Linked DNA regions of Oryctolagus cuniculus. The protein of the gene in region 3 interacts with the protein of the main gene of each other region in a pairwise test. Links are inferred from orthologs where the notes say so. Each region holds a gene or a part of one and is shown on either strand. Other genes may lie near its edges.

What was found. The genes of interacting proteins can lie anywhere in the genome.
Region 1: the proteins of LMNA (region 3) and IFFO1 interact in binary tests that used the Homo sapiens proteins (3 or more experiments, as listed by UniProt). The link is inferred for Oryctolagus cuniculus from reciprocal best matches to the Homo sapiens genes LMNA and IFFO1.
Region 2: the proteins of LMNA (region 3) and TOR1AIP1 interact in a two-hybrid assay, tested with the Homo sapiens proteins (2 studies listed by BioGRID). The link is inferred for Oryctolagus cuniculus from reciprocal best matches to the Homo sapiens genes LMNA and TOR1AIP1.

The regions. Positions count from the first base shown.
Region 1 is NC_091440.1:102,949,557-102,953,073, forward strand, and holds part of IFFO1 (non-homologous end joining factor IFFO1), read left to right. Parts: intron 1-978; coding exon 979-1,039; intron 1,040-1,182; coding exon 1,183-1,278; intron 1,279-3,517. UniProt on the Homo sapiens protein: Nuclear matrix protein involved in the immobilization of broken DNA ends and the suppression of chromosome translocation during DNA double-strand breaks (DSBs).
Region 2 is NC_091438.1:8,058,339-8,061,855, forward strand, and holds part of TOR1AIP1 (torsin-1A-interacting protein 1), read left to right. Parts: intron 1-1,070; coding exon 1,071-1,112; intron 1,113-1,567; coding exon 1,568-1,636; intron 1,637-3,517. UniProt on the Homo sapiens protein: Required for nuclear membrane integrity. Induces TOR1A and TOR1B ATPase activity and is required for their location on the nuclear membrane. Binds to A- and B-type lamins. Possible role in membrane attachment and assembly of the nuclear lamina.
Region 3 is NC_091438.1:42,585,911-42,590,019, reverse strand, and holds the start of LMNA (lamin), read left to right. Parts: upstream 1-1,298; 5' UTR 1,299-1,547; coding exon 1,548-1,903; intron 1,904-3,882; exon of another isoform or gene 3,883-4,109.

The DNA of each region.
Region 1 (3,517 bases), on a different chromosome or scaffold from region 3:
CACTGCAGTGCGGCTGCGGGTGAGCTGCACAGGAGGGCACGAGGAGGGCCGGCCTGGAGAGGGCCACGGAGGGAGGGGCATGAAGAGACGGAATCCCGGCTCTGGGAGCGCACTCTTGGTTTTGATTTCTTGGCTGTCCTCCTCGCTGCTTGCTAACCAGCTTTCTGTCTCGGTGCAGCCCCCGTTCTGATGAGGCAGCGAGGGGGGTCTGAGCGTGACAGGTGAATAGGTCCTGGGGTGACAGTGGTGTCGTTCCCGCCTCCCCTTCCCACTGGGCCCTGGGCCCTGCCCCGTGGCTGCCAGTGCCTTGAGCCCACGTGTGGCCCCCTTAGTGTCTGCGTTCTGAGTCGTGGGGACTGCAGCCGCTCTCATCTCCCTTTCCCCCTGGGTTTGGGCATTTCTCTCCGTCCGCCTCCTGCTGTCTACTGCTTTCAGGCTGCTGGGGAGTTGAGGCCCCTGGGCCGGCCCTGCCTCCTCTCTGCGGCTCCTGTAGAGGGGGCTTGGGGGGAACTGGGGGGGGGGGAACAGGACTCTGAGCATCTCCTCCCTCCCAGGCTCCTGACAGCCCTGTTGATATGGTGTGTGTCCTGCAGATGCTTTGCAGGGTTAAATGGTCCCACGGGAGACAGGGCAGCGGGCTAGACAAGCTCTGTTCTGGTGCGGGCAGGAGGCGGGAGACCGGATCTGTGCCACTGAAGGTGGGAGACTGGGCCGGGCGGGCCTGGCAGTCTGGTGTGGGCAGGTGGTGGGTGTCGAGGCTGGCCAGACAGCTGGGGGAGCTGGGGTGCCAGGGCCTAGAGCAGCAGCAGCTGCTCTTAAATATAGTCCTGGGGCGTGGCCCGGAGTTCCGGGCAGGCAGCTGGTAAGCAGCCAACAGCTGCTGCTGGCCCCCGCCTGGGGGCTGAGCCTGACCCGGGAACTGCAGGCCAGGGAGGCCTCAGTGCCTGAGTTCTCTCCCCTCCTTGCCTTGTGTGTCAGGTGGGAAGAAGAGTACACGGTGCGCATGCAGCTGCAAGACCGAGTGACCGAGCTCCAGGAGGTGAGGGCGGCTGGCCTGTTGCCTGTGCTCCCCTCGGGGTCCCCCCACGGGCCTTTGGCCCCAGTGCCGGCTCCTTGTGCCTCCTTGTCATCGTAAGCTTCTGCCCACGTGGCCACTGATGTCGTGGTCTTCCCCGCTCATAGGAAGCCCAGGAGGCTGACGCGTGCCAAGAGGAGCTGGCCATGAAAGTGGAGCAGCTGAAAGCGGAGCTGGTGGTCTTCAAGGGGCTCATGAGCAATGTGAGTGCGGCACCTCTGCCGACCCTGCTGGCGCCAGGCGGGCAGCCCTTCCTAGAGCGCTGCGCTGTGGGCCTGTGCTCAGCCCCGCCCTTTCTTGTTTTTAAAGATTTATTTATTTATTTTATTTACTTGAAAGAGTTACAGAGAGGTAGAGACACAGAGAGAGAGGTCTCCCATCCACTGGTTCACTCTCCAAATAGCTGCAATGGCCGGAGCTGAGCCAGTCGGTAGGCAGGAGCCAGGATCCTCCTCTAGGTCTCCCATGTGGGAGCAGGGACCCAAGCACTTGGGCCATCCTCCGGTGCTTTCCCAGGCACATGAGCAGGGAGCTGCATCAGAAGAGGAGCAGCTGGGACTCCAACTGGCACCCATGTGGGATGCCAGTGCCGCAGGCCGGGACTAACCCACTGGGCCACAGTGCCGCCCTCCACTCCTTCCCTCTTACTGGCTGCCAGGCAAGAGCTGAAGAAGGAGTAAGGCCTGGTGCTGGGTCACATGGGCAGTGTGGCCTGCATGTTACTGGGGCTGTTCAGCCCTAGTAAGAGCGCAGCTTCAGAGCCGGCAGCCAGGTTCATGTCCAGGCGCTGCAGCTTGGAGTGTGGCCTTGGGCGAATCCAGTGCTTGGGAATATTCATCTGCTGCTGGAACCTCAGCCTTGGCCGGGGGCAAAAAGACCTGCACTTGGGAGAATTACGTGAATGTTTTCTGTATCCAGGGCAGGGCCTGGCGAGCACAAGCATCCTTCAGATCATTCACAGAGAGGTCGGCATTGGGGTACAGTGGGTTAACCACAGCCTTCAATACTAGCATCCCATATGAACACCAGTTCGAGTCCCAGCCACTCCTCTTCCTGCTGATGTATCTGAGAAAGCAGCAGAAGATGGTCCAAGTGCTTGGGCCCCTGCACCCACATGGGAGACCATGGAGTTCTGGCTTCTGTCTGGCTGGGCCCTGGCCATGGTAGCCATTTGGGGGATGAACCAGAAGATGGAAGATATCTCCTTCTCTACCTTTCTCTGTCTTTCTATAAGTCTGCCTTTCAAATAAATAAATACATCTTAAAAAAAAAATCATGGAGGTACACGCACTGTGGCATAGCAGGTTAAGCCTCTACCTGCAGTGCCAGCACCCCATACGGGCACCAGTTGGAGTCCCCACTGCTCCTCTTCTGATCCAGTTCCCTGCTAATGTGCCTGGGAAAGTAGCAGAGGATGGTACAAGTGCTTAGGCCCCTGTACCCACATTGGAGACCCAGATGGAGCTCCTGGCTCCTGGCTTCACTCTGGCCCATCCTGGCCATTGTGGCCATTTGGGGAGTCAATCAGCAGATGGAAGACTCCCCCCCTTCTCTGTAACTCTACCTTTCAAATAAATAAAATAAATGTTTTTAAAATGCATGGAAAATCAAATTAAAAGAGGTATTTAAAGGCAGGTGTGCCCTGGTGGTTAGAACACTGCTTAGGATATCCACATGCCGTATTGGAGTGTGATAGGTCCCAGTCCCAGATTTGCTTCCGATTTCAGCTTCCTGCTGATGTGCACCCTGGGAGGCAGCAGGTGATGGCTCAAGTAGTTGAGTCCCTACCATCCACATGGAAGAACTGGATTGACTCCCTTCCTTCCTTCCTTCCTTCCTTCCTTCCTTCCTTCCTTCCTTCCTTCCTTCCTTCCTTCCTTCCTTCCTTCCTTCCTTCCTTCCTATCTTCCTATCTTCCTATCTTCCTATTTATTTATTTAAGAGGCGGAGAGAGAGATCCACTAGTTCACTCCACAATTGGCTGCAACAACCAGAGCTGCACCAATCCGAAGCCAGGAGCCAGGAGCTTCTTCCGGGTCTCCCACATGGGTGCAGGGGCCCAAAGACTTGGGCCATCTTTTACTGTTTTCCCAGGCCATAGCGGAGAGCTGGATTGGTAATGGAGCAGCCGGGACTTGAACCAGCACCCATGTGGGATGCTGGCACTGCAGGCGGTGGCTTTACCCACTACGCCAGTGCCAGCCCTGTGGATTGAGTTTCTAGCTCTCAGCTTTGGCCTGGCCCAACTCCAGCTGTTGCAGGTGTTTGGGAGTGAACCAATGGGTTTTAGTCTGCCTCTCCCTTGGTCTGTCTGCTTTTCAAGTAAATATAAATGGATTTATTTATTTGAGAGGTAAAGTTATAGACAGAGAGAGGGAGAGACGGAGAGAAAGGACTTCCATCCTCTGGTTCACTCCCCAAATGTCTACAACAGCCAGAACT
Region 2 (3,517 bases), about 35 Mb from region 3:
CAGAGAGAGGAGAGGCAAAGAGAGAGAGGTCTTCCATCCACTGGTTCACTCCCCAGATGGCCACAATGGCCAGAGCTGCACCAATCCGAAGCCAGGAGCCAGGAACTTCTGCATCTCCCACATAGGTGCAGGGACCCGAGGACTTGGGCCATCCTCTACTGCTTTCCCAGGCCACAGCAGAGAGCCAGATCAGAAGTAGAACAGCGGGACTAGAATTGGCACCCACATGGGATGCTGGTGCTTCAGGCCAGGGCCTCAACCCGCTGCACCACAGCGCCAGCCCCCCCAAAAATACATATTTTAATATCATGGTATCCCTAACACTTAGTGTTTTGAACATAGTAGGTACTTAACAAACATTCATGAATTTTATGTTATGCATTCCTAGAATGGTACCTTTTTATAGATAGCATGTATTTCATTTGAATTCAGAAAAAATAAATTTCCGTTGATACTTAATCAAGAGTGGGTAAAAATAATTTACTTCTTCAAAGATAATTTGAACATCTACTTTTTTGTAATTTTTAAATGTTATTTTCTAATTATTCCATTGTACCATTTTAGCATTATCCTTAAATACCATTAAAGAACTTGAAATAACATTTCTGCATAGCTACTTTGTAATGTCCACAAATTTACATATATATTACATACTGTTCTATATGGCATGATATTTAGTATGGACTGCCTGTACATGTATCTCAACTACTTTCAGATACATGACCTTGATAAAATTACGAGTTTGTAAAAAAGATAATGATAGTATCTCCCACACATAAAGCATAGGAACTAAGTAAATTTACATTTGACACCTGGTAAACATATAACACATTGTCATTATTTTGATGGTAATGATCCTAAAACTGAGTCCTTGTTATTGTCCACTTGCTGGTCATTTTAAAGTTTAGGAAGGGGAATACATACATTTAGTGTTTATGTTTGGGATTGGTGAGAGAAGGGTTTGACTTTTTGTATGTGTTTGGTATCTGCAGTAGTGAGCAGTGTCTGTATAGCCTATTTTTTGTTTCTATTCCGAGTGTTTCTGACCTTACCCCTGTCTCCTGCCTCAGGTGGAGATGTCAGAGCCCGTGACAAGCAGCCTGCAGTGCTGAGTAAGTGGTTAGTGGCTGCCCCTCTCTTCAAGCGGTCAGTTCCAACCCCACGTTACGCTGCCAACAAAAGATCCTGTTGGAATTTTAAGTCATCTTACCCTCTTTGCTTTTCTTCTCTGACACACATCGGTACTGCATGTGGTAATTGCTCTGGGCAAGAGGTGGTGGTGAACTTTTCCTCCAAGTCATTCTCATAGACCCCTGCACAGGACTTACACACAGTTTTTTCTGTTGGGTGGCGATGCATTTGTTTTGCTACCTGTTTTGTTATAAAAAGTGATTCAATCCTTACTGATACACTCCCTTGAAATTATCTTTTACTTCTCAAACTATTGCTTTCATTGTTTTCCTCTCCTACTTTATTTAGACTTCCTGATAGATATATAACACAAGAATATAATATGTTAACTTTCAAAGTATATGAAATGATATTTTGATATATGCATTTGCTCTAGGCTCGGGATATCAAAAAAACCCTCAGGAATGGGGCGAACAAACCTTAAGAATGAGGGTTGGGATGCAAAGTAAGTAGCTCATTTGCTGTTTTTCTTGATTTCCTCACATACAGAAACATTGAGTGCTTTGATATGCATTTAGGTCACTTGTGATTTTACAGATGAAGGGTGACTGTGATTACCAGTTTAGGGATTTCCATTTCCTTGGATAGGTAACATAGGACTGGGTATAGAATGTAGGAAGGTACTTCAGAAACTTCATGGAAAATGAAATTAACAGAGAAGTTTATTTTGGTGTGAAATCCATGCAGAGATTTTTTGTAATTTTCATTTTCCAGTGAACTTTCTGAAGACCCTTTGTGAACAGTGGTGTGAGACAGTGCGTAATGATGGGTCTAAATGTGACAAGCTGTCAGTTCTAGCAGCATTGCAGTCTGTGTAGGATAGAAAATTCCACTTTTTTACAATACCTGCTTTTTGTTATTAGCAGACTTTTTAAAATAACCATTTGGAGACTCTTTTTGAAGGTTATAAAGAAAAACAAGATACACTGCTGTAGTGATGTCATTTACCAAGCCAGAAATACCTAAATTAACCTTATCTTCATAATGAAAAGTCCTTGCATGAGAAAGAAAATCATGGCTTTTCCATTTCTAACCAATGAACTTGTGAATGGCTCCAATTCTTTGGCTTTGTTTCTTTTAGCCAAAGTCACTAAAATTGTTAAGATATAAAGAAAACACTTGGATTAATCAAAGAAAAAGAGTTTAAATATGAAGTTTATAACAGAGTACAACTAAGAAAGTAAATTTATTTAAATTACTAAAATAGCTAATTTTTTTGTAGATTTATTTTTTTATCTGAAAAGCAAAGCTAGAGAGAGAGAGGGCGCGACAGAGAAATCTTCCATCCTGTGGTTCACTCCCTAAATGGCCACAGCCGTCAGGGCTAGACCAGGCCGAAGCCAGGAGTTTTATCCGGGTCTCCCACATGGGTACAGAGGCCAAAGGACTTGGGCCGTTATCTGCTGCTTTCCCAGGCCGTTAGTAGGGAGTTGAACTTGAACCGGCACCCACATGAAATGCTGTCATTGCAGGCGGCAGTTTGACTTGTTATGCCACAGCACCAGCCACAAATTACTAAAATAGCTAATTTTAAAGACATTTACAGATCAGCTACTACAGTTTTTTTCCTGAAAGACCTAAGTAGCATATTTGAAAATTATTTGGGTCAGTGTTGTCACAAACATTTGTTTCTCTGTATGATATGTATGTATAAAATAAGCCTTTTCAAAAATTCCTGTTTTATAGCCCTCATAAATCAGGTGATCTGACTTTTGCTAGTCATCACGAGTATCATCACACAAAATAGCACTTCAGCATTTTCACATGCATTATGTCATTTGATCTTTGCAGCCATGTAGAGAGATATTCAAGGTAAACATCTGATAGGTTTGGGATGTTTTGTGTGGTTAGATTTTATAGGTCCTTTTTTTTTTTTTAGCAATACAGTTGTAACTTTGGTGGCCTAACTTAGAAGCTTCTTAATAAAGTTTCCTAAGCTAAAAACTAGTGATTAAAAAAGAATATGTCTCTTAGAGTTAGGATTGATGTCATTTTCTTACTTGGGGTGTTGTCATATGAGCAAAAAGTATTTTTATATCTTTGTGGTGCTTTTTTTTTTTTTTCATAAGATTTATTTATTTTGTTTGAAAGCCAGAGTTACAGGGTGAGAGGGAAGGAGAAGAGAGAACCATCTGCTGGTTCATTTCCCAAAAGGCCGCAATAGCCAGGGTGGGTCCAGACCAAAACCAGGAGCCCAGAGCTTCTTCCTGGTCTCCCATATGTGTGCATGGATGCAAACACTTGAGTCGTCTTCCACTGCTTTCCAGTCGTGTTAGCAGGGAGCTGGATCGGAAGAGGAGCAGCTGGGACTGGAACCAGCGCCCAT
Region 3 (4,109 bases):
TATGGCAGTGGCCTGATGTCCTGGAGTTGTAGCATTAGCAACGTAATTCAATTTCCCAGGTTCCTCATCAGAATAAGCTGTAGGCGGCACGGGGGCAGGAAGCTCCATACTGAGGAGGAGGTGCTGGGGCTGGGCTGGCCCTGGAGGAGCGGGGTGGAAGGCTGATCTCAGGGGGCTTTGGGTGAGGCCTGAGGATGGCGCCCGAGGGCCTGTGCTAGGGAAGACTGGGGACCTGGGTGACACGGTCTCCCCAGACAGCCCTGGCCGGAGGGAAGTGGCAACCCAGTGCCAGCCTTTGGGGCCAGCCAGGCTTGGGGTGGGGGGTGTCTTTACTCTTCCTGCCCTCCACTGTCCCCTTTCTGCCTGCGACTAAGATGGGAAGCCAAGATGGAGAGCCAGCCCCTGGCCCTGCTCCCCCTTTCAGGCCTCTCGGGGAACCACAAAAATCTAGGACCTGGTGTCTTGGCAACGCGATGAGCGCACGCACGCACAGCTCTGCTATCTGTTTTAGATTATCCAGTAAAATAAGTACAGTTCTGGAGCTGGCTGGGTGGGGAGGAACCCAGGCAGCCTCATTTTCCAATTGCTTGGTTCCAAAGGAGGGGGCCAGGAGACAGGCGGGGCAGTGCCTGGGTCCTATTCTTGGCTTTCTCTTGGGGCTGCAGCTTGTTGCTTGGGTCTAAGATCCAATGCTTGTATTTGGAAGACAAAAACAAGCGAAAAAGGGGATCCCTGCCCCCAAACTGAGGGTATGGGGGAACACAGGTTCCAGAACTTTGCAGCCTCCCCCCTCCCGGACACAAGCAATCCTTCCACCCCACCGCACCCCATCCCCTGGCATCCTGAGATATAGCTTTGAATGGGCTGCCCACGTGCGCAGGGGGGTTGGGGGTGACTCACTGTTACTATGGGGAGGGGAGGGGGAGCCAGCGGTGGAAGGAGGGTGAGTCACCCTCAGGAAGGAGGGCACCAACCTCAGCCCTCCCCCACTCTCCTGGCTCCCCAGTCCTGCCTGCTCGACCCCTCCTCCACTCCCCTTTGCCCACCCACTCTCTCCCCTGGGCTCTGCCCTCTGTCCCAGAAGGCCTGAGGCCGTGGGGGCAAGCTTGGAGCTGAGAGCGCTGGGCAGGCAGGAACCAAGACGGGGGAAGCGTCAGCAAAGCCCCAAGCACCCGGCGTGCGCTGGGCAGGGTGGGGCCCGACTCCGCAGCTGCCCGGGTCCCTCCTCCCCACTCCTAAGCCCCGACCCCTTGGGTATGCGACGGCCCCTTTAAGAGCAGCGGCCCCGCCTCCCCATAGAGGAGGACCTATTAGAGCCTCGGCCCCGGCGCCGGTGACTCAGTGTTCGCGGGAGCGCCGCAGCCACGCCAGCCAACCCGGCTCCCGAGGTCTGACAGCGCCCGGCCCCGATCTGCGCGCCTGCCAGGAGCGAGCCGCGACCAGCCGGCCGGCGCGCTCCGCCCCTGAGAAGCCTCCGTCCTCCGCTCCGAGCTCCGCGCCCTTCCCGGGACCCCTGCCCTGCGGGCAGCCTTGCCACCCTGCCGGCCATGGAGACCCCGTCCCAGCGGCGCGCCACCCGCAGCGGGGCGCAGGCCAGCTCCACCCCGCTGTCGCCCACCCGCATCACCCGGCTGCAGGAGAAGGAGGACCTGCAGGAGCTCAATGACCGCTTGGCCGTCTACATCGACCGTGTGCGCTCGCTGGAGACGGAGAACGCGGGGCTGCGCCTTCGCATCACCGAGTCGGAAGAGGTGGTCAGCCGCGAGGTGTCCGGCATCAAGGCCGCCTACGAGGCGGAGCTCGGGGATGCCCGCAAGACCCTCGACTCTGTGGCCAAGGAGCGCGCCCGCCTGCAGCTGGAGCTGAGCAAAGTGCGCGAGGAGTTTAAGGAGCTCAAAGCGCGGTGAGTGAGCGCAGGTGGCGCGTGCAGGGACCCCTGGCCGGCTCCGGGAAAGGAGTGGGAGCGGGAGGGCCCGGGAGGCCGGTAACTTCGCCATGGAGTCTCCTCCCTCCCCGGAACTGCCCCCGGCGGGGGCGACTGGCGGTGCCAAGGGGAACTGTCAGGACGGGGCAGAGAGGGGAGGGTCTTCGAGAGAGGGCGGCGGCTCTAAGGAGTAGTAGGGGCCAGTGGCAGGCCCGCGTTCTGGCGGGGTGGGAGTTGCCAGCCATTTGGAGGCTAGCACAAGGGCTTGAGCAAAGCCGACTGGCCCTGCCGGATCTAAGCCCTTTGGCCCCAGGCACCCAGGACACGTTGGAGTGGGTGAAGGGGTCCTATTAGAACTTTCTTGGCAGGCTTGGCTCTGTGCCAGCTTTGCCCAGGCTGGCTCTGAACGCAGGAGCCCCTATAGGACAGGGCTCCCAAGCTGGCATCCATCCAGGGGTGCGAGAGAGGTCATCAGAGCCCCCCCTTACCACTCCCAGGGCGTGGTGGTGGCTCCCCAGGCCCTCCCTTTGCCTGAGTTCTTTCTCCCTCACTCCCTGCACCTCCCAGACCGGGCCCACCAAAACAGCTCCAGGAGACTGGCTCCCCCGCAGCTCCCACAGCCCTTGGCCTGCTTGGCCCAGGAATGCAAGGGAGGGAGGGAGACAGGGCAGAGGCTCCTGGCTCAGGAAGTTGTGTTATGGCCAGAGCTGGAGGCAACCCTCCTCACCCCCCCACCCCTTGGCCCTCCACCTGATGTCTTTGAGGGCTGGGGGCTCCGTCCTTCCCTCCCCCGCTCTGGGTGAGCCACTTTCATTTTCCCAGCCAGGCCAGAGCAGTCTTTGCCCTGGCCCATCCTTCCGCCGCTGACGTTTTGATGTGCGCCTTATTAAACTGCTGGAATACAGTGACATTTTTGAAATCCGGCCGTTGGAAGGTTCAGGCCCCTCCCACTTCACCCATCCCTGCCCCACCCCACCCCACCCTACACAACTCCACCTTCCCTTCTAACAAGGCCTTCGGAAGTCTGGAGGTTAGGGCCCTCTTCTTCCAGCCTCCCCCACCCCAGAATTTGGTTTCTTCTCCTCTCTCCCCTTTCCTGTGAAGGCCCCGGCCAAAGAGCTCTTACAGGTGCTTGGAGATCCCCCGGGCGCTGGTGCCTCTGACCTCACCTCCTTCGCTCCCTTTGCATTTTTCTGCTCCAGGCTCATAACTCTTCCCGGAACCACCGGATGTTTTCTGTGGCCCTTCTGCCCTCTGCTAGCCCCCAGCCCCATGTGTGAGAGACCCATGGCCTTCCCGAAGTTATGTGTGTGTGTGTGTGTGTGTGTGTGTGTGTGTGTTGGGGGGGGGGCTGGTTCAACCTTGACGTCTGTTGAAAGAGATCACCTGTCTTTTTCCACTAGTGATACGAGCAACTTAGCAAGGCAGATAGGAGGCAAGCTAGGGGAGCCACAGTGGATTAGTTCTAAACTATTCTGCTGAATTTCCAAAGCCAACCCCCCCTCCTCCCCCAGGGATCCTATGAAGGGAGCTGGGGGAACATTGATTGGAGAGGAGTCTGTAGTTTCTTGTTCCCCACCGCCGCACGGGTCTGTCTCCTCGGCCTCCCGGTGCAGCTGTCCAGGCCTGGGACACCGGGCGGGGGTGGTGTGCCTCCTTGTTATATTTAGCCACCTGCCTGTCTTCTCCCCCACTGATCCTGACCAGGCAAGGCTGAGCTTCCGGAAGAGGGAGTAGGTTTGCACACCTGGATCCCAGGTTGACGGCAGGTGGGGTGGGGGCAGAGGGGCTCGAACTGGGGTGTCTCTTCCCTTCTATGTCCACGTTAGGAGGTGGGATTGGTGGCTTCCTTTTGTATCTGCTCAGCTCAGGGTAAGGGAGAAGTGCCCAGAATGAAGAGTTTGGGAGAGGAAGAAAGGCAGTGCCCCAACCCCTCCCATCACCAAAGAGAGGTGTCCTCTGGTTTAATGTTTAATTAGAGCTCAGAGTTCATGGCCAGACTTGAGGTGAGATACAGGGCTATCTGTAAGACCCTGTGGCAACTTTTGGCCCTGCCTGGGGAACTTGGCCACACCCAGGGGTACACACACACACACACACACCTTCCCTTTCTATTCTGGAGCCCAGGGATTAGGACACCTAAGTGCTGGAGAATGGGCAGGTTGAAAGCTCCAGAGAGGGTTGC